2 linked regions of the Danio rerio genome follow. The protein of the gene in region 1 purifies or fractionates together with the protein of each later gene. This does not show direct contact. Links are inferred from orthologs where the notes say so. Each region holds a gene or a part of one and is shown in the gene's direction. Other genes may lie near its edges. The genes, in order: cep350 and cep43.

The links.
Region 2: the proteins of cep350 (region 1) and cep43 purify together in Homo sapiens (affinity purification with mass spectrometry; 6 studies listed by BioGRID and IntAct, counting the BioPlex papers as one, with this or other methods). This does not show direct contact. The link is inferred for Danio rerio from reciprocal best matches to the Homo sapiens genes CEP350 and CEP43.

What each region holds. Positions count from the first base shown.
Region 1 is NC_133183.1:16,331,861-16,335,686, reverse strand, and holds part of cep350 (centrosome-associated protein 350), read left to right. Parts: intron 1-440; coding exon 441-673; intron 674-2,699; coding exon 2,700-2,875; intron 2,876-3,051; coding exon 3,052-3,211; intron 3,212-3,826. UniProt on the Homo sapiens protein: Plays an essential role in centriole growth by stabilizing a procentriolar seed composed of at least, SASS6 and CPAP. Required for anchoring microtubules to the centrosomes and for the integrity of the microtubule network.
Region 2 is NC_133195.1:33,353,670-33,358,138, forward strand, and holds the start of cep43 (centrosomal protein 43), read left to right. Parts: upstream 1-1,528; 5' UTR 1,529-1,546; coding exon 1,547-1,630; intron 1,631-2,166; coding exon 2,167-2,220; intron 2,221-3,387; coding exon 3,388-3,442; intron 3,443-4,469. UniProt on the Homo sapiens protein: Required for anchoring microtubules to the centrosomes. Required for ciliation.

The sequences.
Region 1 (3,826 bases):
GATTGCAGTTACAGAGACAAAAGCGTAACACTGTTTGTCAAACCCTGGGTGGAACCTGTGTGTTTCAGTGTGTCAGGTTGTTGTTTTTGTGTGTTTTACCCATAAACTGCATCGGATGCATGAGTTTTCCCCTGATCAGGATATGTTAAATGCACAATTGCCATTTCCCTATTTTAATAAATGCAAGTCTCCAAGTCTATTTTGGCAAGCATGTTTTGGAGTGTGAATGTGTTTGTTTGAAGGTTTTATGGGTATAAATGCTTTGAAAAGCAGACTAATGTGGTGTGCGAAGATGGTTGGTGAGTGGCATTCTTTGAGCGTCTGCTTTGCCTGCTTTTGTGGTGGTTTCTCCAAATCGTGTCACTTTGCTTTACACAATCTCGTTTTTCCTTCTTCTGCCTCTCCTGTCTGTCTTTTTGTCTCTTTCGCTCGCCTTGTAGATTTCTCACTAAAAGGGAGCAGCAGTTGATGCAGAGGCGCAGACATGCTGAAGAACTTCTGGAGTGGAGGCAGAGGCTGGATGTGGAGGAGGCTGAAGTACGGCGGATGGAGAAACAAGCTCTGGCGGCCTGGGAGAAGCAGCAGCAGCCACGCAGCAGAACCCAAACGCAGCAGCACAGCCGGGAAAATGAACACAGTCACACTAGCGGAGGACAAAGCCCCATAGGACAAGGTGAGGAGTGTGTGGTAAAACATAGAGAAGGAATGGCCCTCTAAAGAATGATATACGTCACATCAGTTTATATTCTTTAACATTTTACACTGGAGTATAAATAGGCATTTACTTGGCAAGTACAGTGTTCATACAGTCCTGGAAAATTCATGGAATTTTGAGGCATTTTCCAGGCCTCAAAAAAAAAAGGTTTTGGAAATTTGTTTAACAAACATTTGTGTACTTGAATATATTTGAGATTATAATATTGGATAAATTTTAAATACAATTGCGATGTCCATGCCTTCATGTGACGTTCCCTGCATGGTGCAAAAAGCAACTTGCAGCTTCAACTTCGCCTCTGCTTAACTTGCTTTTACAATCTCTAACCAATCTCTAACTAAAGAGGTAAGATATAGTGGGTGCTAAAGGCTATTTTGTACTATTTGTTAAAACACAAGCCAACATTTCCATTTATTTTATTTATTTATTTAATTTTTAACAGATCAACAGTGGTACTGGTATCTCGTAACAAGTACAGAACTTTTTGTTAGTGATTCTAACAAATGCATACAAATGCTTCAAAAGCAAAGACAAAAATAAAAAGTGATTATAAAACAAATTTAGAAAGACAGTCACTGGGTACCCCTTAAGAAAAATCCAAAAGGAAAGCCAAATGTGCCAAAACACCTCAGATCTTTGATGGAAATCCTAGGTTTTTTTCTAGTGGTAGAAGTCTGGTTGCCACATACTCGGGTATCTGAGCAGTTGACCATATATATGTGTGTATGTATGTGTCAATGTCTATCTTGCATTTGAAACACAGCTGGGAACAATTGGGAAATATTCTATGGAGGCGAACTGGGGTTCAGATGGGGTTAGATAAATCCTGTGAATACATTTATAATTTTGTTCATGAACAGAAATTGAAGTCCTTTTGGGATAGATATTTGAGCAGGCAGATAGCCACTCCTCATCACTAAAAATAGACCCCAAATCCTTTTCCCATATCACCCTTAAAGAGACAAAGGTTGAAGGACCAATGTTAGACTGCAGTGTATATAATTCAACGGTCTTTCTTTTAAGCGTCCATGAAGAAAAAAGCAGTTTGTCTATTTCAGTAAAATAAAATTGGATATTACCTTCTTTTAACTGTAACTTTAAAAGGTGACAAATTTGCAGGAATTTACAAAAATCTTTACTGGGAAGACTAAATTTCTTTCTTCTCAAATGATTTATTTGGCCATCATCGAATAGGTAACACAATTCCGACAATCCTCTTGATCTCCAAGTCAAAAGTCCAATATTCTGTATTGCAGTGGGAAAATCAAGCATAATAGGTGACTTGGAACACAACTTATTTGGGATGGATAAACATTTCTTAACATCCTTCCACACCAAAGGAGTATTTGTTACTGTAAAAACACTTGTCAGATGTTGATTTTTTTGTACATTGAGTAAATGGTAGGGAGCATAAGACTCTAGGAAAGCATCTTGTAAATTCAATCCCAACCCATCGTGAATTGAATCTGTAAATAAACCAATTTACAAGCCAACATTTCTAAAAATTTTCACACAGACCGCAAGATACTTTCTAAAAAGTATTTTACATATAAATAAATAGAAACTACATAAATTATCTCATATTTTTTGATATGCTGTAATAAATTTGAACATGCTTTTTTTATATACACCACCTGTACATAGAGATTACTTGAAACATTATTTCATGAATATTTACCTAAAGTTTTGGAAAGGTCCTGAAATTTTAGTAGTAAAAATCAGTATGAACCCTGCAAGTGGTTAATTTTGGGCCATTCTGGTGAAATTCTTGATTTAATTGTCTGTTTGTATACTATAAAACAAATTAGTTTTTAACATTTTTGTCACGATTAAACTGAGTTTAGGAACTCTGCTTTACCTTGATTCTAACATCTAGCATTACAGTACTGCACAGCCTCTTCTGTCATATTATTAATGTCCCCTTTTAGCCTCTGTAAAGGTTTTCATTTTCGCTTACATCTTGTATGCATGTATGTTTTCACAGAAGCGGGCAGCGAAGATGACGACTCTGTGGCGTTGTCTGTGTCCAGCGTTCACACTGATTTGTCTGTTCCAGAGCAACTGGGCAGTCCGTCCTCAGATCGGCCTGTCTCTGAGCTCAACTCTGCTGTCGTCGATGCCCTTTATTCAGCCGAGTTTATTGCCACGGACAGCAAACAGGTAAAAATGGTCTTGCACAGAATGTAGTTTTGTAGATATGCTTATCTAAATTTGTAGATATACAAAGTTGTTTTCAATGTGCTTTGACATGACTCAGGGTGGATTGTAGCTCTCTGTGGTGTGTATGATTTTACATGTCCTGACCTTGAATCCCTCTTCCTGTGTGTGTGTTGCAGTCTCCTCCAGGGAAAGCCAGCCTCAGCTCTCTTCGACATTCAGACAGTAGCCGGCCTGGCACTGTCACTGGCACCAGCAGTTGCAGTAAGATGCAGGTGCACTCCGGCTCCAAGACCAGCGAGCCCCACACCAGCGATACTCATTCGGCCACTCCGTCTGGTAAGATCCTTCATTCTCCTATCAGATTTTAGAAGTTATCTGGATTGAGTTAAGATCTCTTTTCCTTTTAGGTTGCAACTTCTAGATTACACTACTTTGTTTTTTTTACATTTAGATCATAGTTCTATGGCTATGCCTGTTAGGCCTAATTATTTAGCAACAGTTTACCCTTTACATATTTACAAATAGGAGATGCAAAATGGAGGAGGAACCCTGTGGCAACAATATATAATGCTTGGTGTTCAGCTTTGGGTGTGCACTTCTCTTGATCAAACCACTTAGTCATGTTATTAAAGCACAGACAAGTCTACTTATTATGATGATCCATGAGAAATGGTGTCTTTGTTCCTTTTGTGGTTCAAATTGTTTAAATGTTTTAGTTGTGTACTTTTAATCCTTATGGAGACTGTAATATGTTTAATAATGTTTAATGCTACTGTGGTTTTACAAAGACAATAGTTGTATTTGTATGCACTCGTATGTTAAACCTATAATGCTTAATACGCTGGCGACATGCATGGTAATTTAAACATATTAAGGAGTTTTATTTGTGGTTTATTTTCTTTAAAAAAAAAAACAATTAGCACTTAGAGTTTTATAACCCATAACCCAGAA
Region 2 (4,469 bases), on another chromosome or scaffold:
AATAAGTTATTAAAACTATTATGTTTAGAAATGTGTTGGAAAAAATCTGCTCTCCATTAAACAAAAATTGGGGGAAAAATAAACAGGGAGGCTAATAATTCTGACTTCAACTGTACAGGCAAAACAAAATATCTGTCTACTGATGAAGTTTTAATAATTAAAATAATTGATCTGTGCAGGAAAAAACAGAACAATGCAGTGTTATTCATTTACCTTTAATCCACAGGCATGTCAAACAGGCACGTGCACACATAGGGCTCAACCTGTGCAGTGCACATGCCCTTTTTAGTCTTGGATAGAAGGTGCGCTTCCAAAATGATCAAAAGCGCCCCCGCGACGCGGCACACATTCGGTCCCGCCCTTCAGTAGGCGCGCGACAACACAGCTGATCAGTACGCGCGCGATAATACCGCTCTTCAGTACGCGCGCGATAACACCGCTCTTCTTCAATTCGGGATATGCACTAGTATCATTTTGATGGAATAACATTTACATTCTTGAACTCATCAATTGTTCTGCTTAATGTAGGCTACTACTTTGTTAATTTTCTGTACATCTTTGATTGGAAGTACTGCTAGCCAATGCCATTAACTTGCATTATATCATCAACTAATGAAAAATTCTCACCTGTATCATTTAAGACTTGAAAGTGAGTAATTAAAAAAAAATCCCTTGTTTATCTGCTGACTTTTTGACTAAGTGACATTTAAAGAGATAATTCACTCAAAAATAAAGATTCTGCCATTATTTAGGCTACTTACCCTTCACTTGTCACAAACCTGAGTTTCTTCTGTTGAACACAAAATAATATAATTTTGAAAAATGTTGGCAACTGCTAGCCATTGAATACCATAGTATTTGTTTTGTTTTTTCCTACCATGGATGACAGCTTATCAGTTTCCAACATTCTTCAAAATGTATTTTTTGTTTAACAGAAAAACCTAAACTCACACAGGCTTGGAACCACTGGGGGATAAGTAGCCTAAATGATGACAGAATTTTCAGTTTTGTCCCCTTAAGGCCAGCTAACTACACTGTTAAAAAAAAAAAAAAAAAAAAAAGGTGACTTAACTTAAAATTTTAAGGCAACTTCGGGACATTTTTTAGCTGACTCAATTTTCAACCCAATTACTTCACTTGACTCGATTTAAGCTGCGTAAACTTAAAAATGTCCTTAGATATAAATGTTTGTTGCCTTAGAATTTTAAGTTGAGTCAACTTTTTTACAGTGTACTAGCCATTGTTGTGTCTACCTGGAGTGGATGTGTAAACCTACTACAATCATATTTCATTTATAAATATTAGTTATCTTCTTAATATTCATGAGCTGCAGGCGAGATCCAGTCAAATTAGGTCTATAGAATTAAAAATCAGCACAATCTGGCTGGGTCAATGTGTTTTTCAAAACGGACTGAAGCTGTCAAATCCAAGCATACTAACCTTAAATCTCTGATTGTTGGTGCGTTATATGAATCAACATGTGAAGTCGCTAATAGCCGCCAGGGCGCGCAGTTTTCAGCATGTAGTCACATGACACAAATTGAAGATGTCTGCGACGGAGGAGGACACGGAACTCAGAGATCTACTGATCCAAAACTTGGAAAACAGCGGTGTTTTGAATAAAATCAAGGTATTTCCCCTGCTTATTTCGAGACCCTTTTGAAATTTTGTAGACAACAGAATTACCTCTGTCTCATACGGGATATATTTTGTTTTCCAAGCACAACGGTTAACGTTATTAGCATAGCATAGTGATGCTAAAGTTGTTATGGGCAACAACTGGACAACAGAAGACCCTAGTGTGACAACATTGCGTTATGACAGTTATGTAACCGGTTTTTTACTCATTCATACTAATAAAGATGAAATTTCACAGTGTCACTGTTTATTCCTGCTGTGTTATTATTATACTAAATATCAACCAGCAAATCTGCCTAAGTAAATGTCGAATAAACTTGTTTTGCAAACTGACTGGGCTATAAAGGAAGTTATTTAATGTTATCAAGCCACACATAGTCTGTTTCAATTTGATATAAATCTGATTTCATTGACATTATCTGGTGCTATAATTTTGAGGTGAAATGTTCCACATGCTTATTTATAATACTGTTAGAAATCGGTGTGAATGTTGGACATATGGAGTTAGAGGCTTATTTGGCTTTACAGGCAGAGCTACGTGCAGCTGTTTTTCTTGCCTTGGAGGAGCAGGACAAAGTTGAGGTAATTATAAGAAGTTTATGTTATGCTATTGCTAACTGAGTACTACTAATTTGAGGTAAAGTTGGTTTTATGTTCGCACATTCATTCAGTGACAACTTATGACACAGTCCCTTTATTTTTTACCACGCTACTTTGAATATTTAGTCTAGGACTGCATTGCAGTATTTTATTTTTTCTTCAATAAATATTGCTATATGAATACAGATTTCCAAGATGGTTTTAATAGCATGATTTGACGGTTTTCTGGCTAGTCTAACACTATTCAGGTATAGAAATTGAATAATCACAATACAAAAAGGCTTTTCTTTCTATGCTTTATCTGTTTTCTATATTAAAAAAAAAAATTCTTAGATCAAGTAAAATTGTATTTATTTTTAACTTCAGAATAGATCAGTCAAAATTATGAGTTTTTCATTAAAACAAGCAAAATTATCTGCCAGTGAAGAAAGTAGATCAATCTTGTTTTCACTTTGAAATGTAGATATTTGTAGAAACGAGACAAATATTGTAAGTTAGAACAACTTTTTTTTTTGCATAAATAATATAAATTCAGTATAAACAGTAGTTACAGTTGCAATCATAATTATCAGTCCCCCTTTGAATTTTTTTCTTTTTTTAAATATTTCCCAAATGATGTTTAACAGAGCAAGGACATTTTCACAGTATGTCTGATAGTATTTTATTTTTTTCTGGAAAAAGTCTTATTTGTTTTATTTTAGCTAAAATAAAAGCAGTTATGATTAAAAAAAAAAAAACATTTTAAGGTCAATATTATTAGTCCCTTTAAGCTATATTTTTTACCTAATTAACCTAGTTAAGCCTTTAAATGTTACTTTAAGCAGTATAAAAGTGTCTTAAAAAATGTCTAGTCAAATATTATTTACTGTCATCATGACAGATAAAAAAATCAGTTATTAGAAATGCGTCATTAAAACTATTATGTTTAGAAATGTGTTGAAAAATTTGCTCTGTTAAACAAAAATGGGGGGGGGGGGGATAAACGGGGGGTAATAATTCAGGGGGTTTAATAATTCTGACTACAACTGTAAATTCACAGAAAATACAATTCTATTATGGCTATGTACGTACGTACGTGTGTGTGTGTGTGTGTGTGTGTGTGTACTTCAGGATTCAGTGTGTCATTTAGATTTGTGTTCTTTTGAATAGAATAAAACCCCTCTTGTGAATGAAAACTTGAAAAAGTCCCTCAACACAAAGGATGGTGAGTATGGATTCCTTTCATGTTTTCTCTCTTGTTTTAATGTGGTTGATGTTGGAAAAATCTACACAATTAAAATAACATTTTCAAAGATTAGGCATTGTGAACTTGCTGACGTTGTACATTCCTGCTGAGAAAACGGAGCATCATACAGTAAAAAACTGAAAACAAAAAACTTTTCTTGTGCAGGAAAACGTGTCTCTGTTATGAGACATGAAAGAAAAAGGTCTTAAATCTCAAATGTCTCAAAATGTCAAGCATGTTTGGTTTTCTGTAACTGCATGGAATTATAGTTATAAAGCTAAATAGATGAAAATTAATACAGGAGGCTTCATCAAACATATCAATGTGAAATAATGAAATCTTATTTGCAAAAGCAATCTAATTAGCAGTTTTGCAACTAAAGTTGGCAACACATTAACTGTATACTGCAGTAAAATATAGCATATTGAATATGAGTCAAAGAACCATATTTGTATATTTGATTATTAAAATTTGTCCAGAGGAGTTTTATTATTTCATATTTATTATGACTATTAATGTTTACCATCATTTAGAGAAGAATCAGTCTAACATGTCTTTCAGTGTAAAACTAGTTTATATATAAAAAAAACATTATCAGTCATATTTAGATGAAGAGTCATTGGACGACATGTTAATTAGGGCTATGCAATTTATCGAAAAATAATCGAAATCGACATTCACAACCTATAATCGCTAATTTTTCCAGGTCAATTTTTTCAATTACTTTCCTTACTGCGTGTGGAGTCACGTGACCCCGCTCTGTTAAGGCTGTTTTATACTTCTGCAGCCACTTCTGATCTCTGGTCAAGTAGGATGATGGATCCATTCTTGAGCCTTACTTTTCCCTACAATGATGAGGATTGGAAGCTGCGCCAGAGATGACTTAAGACGGCATATTTTCCACTACATCAAAGTTATTATTTACATTAAAATATTTGTTTACAGAAGATGCTGGAAATGCACTGTTTAAAATATTATTTACAGTATATGCTAGAGTTATTTTATT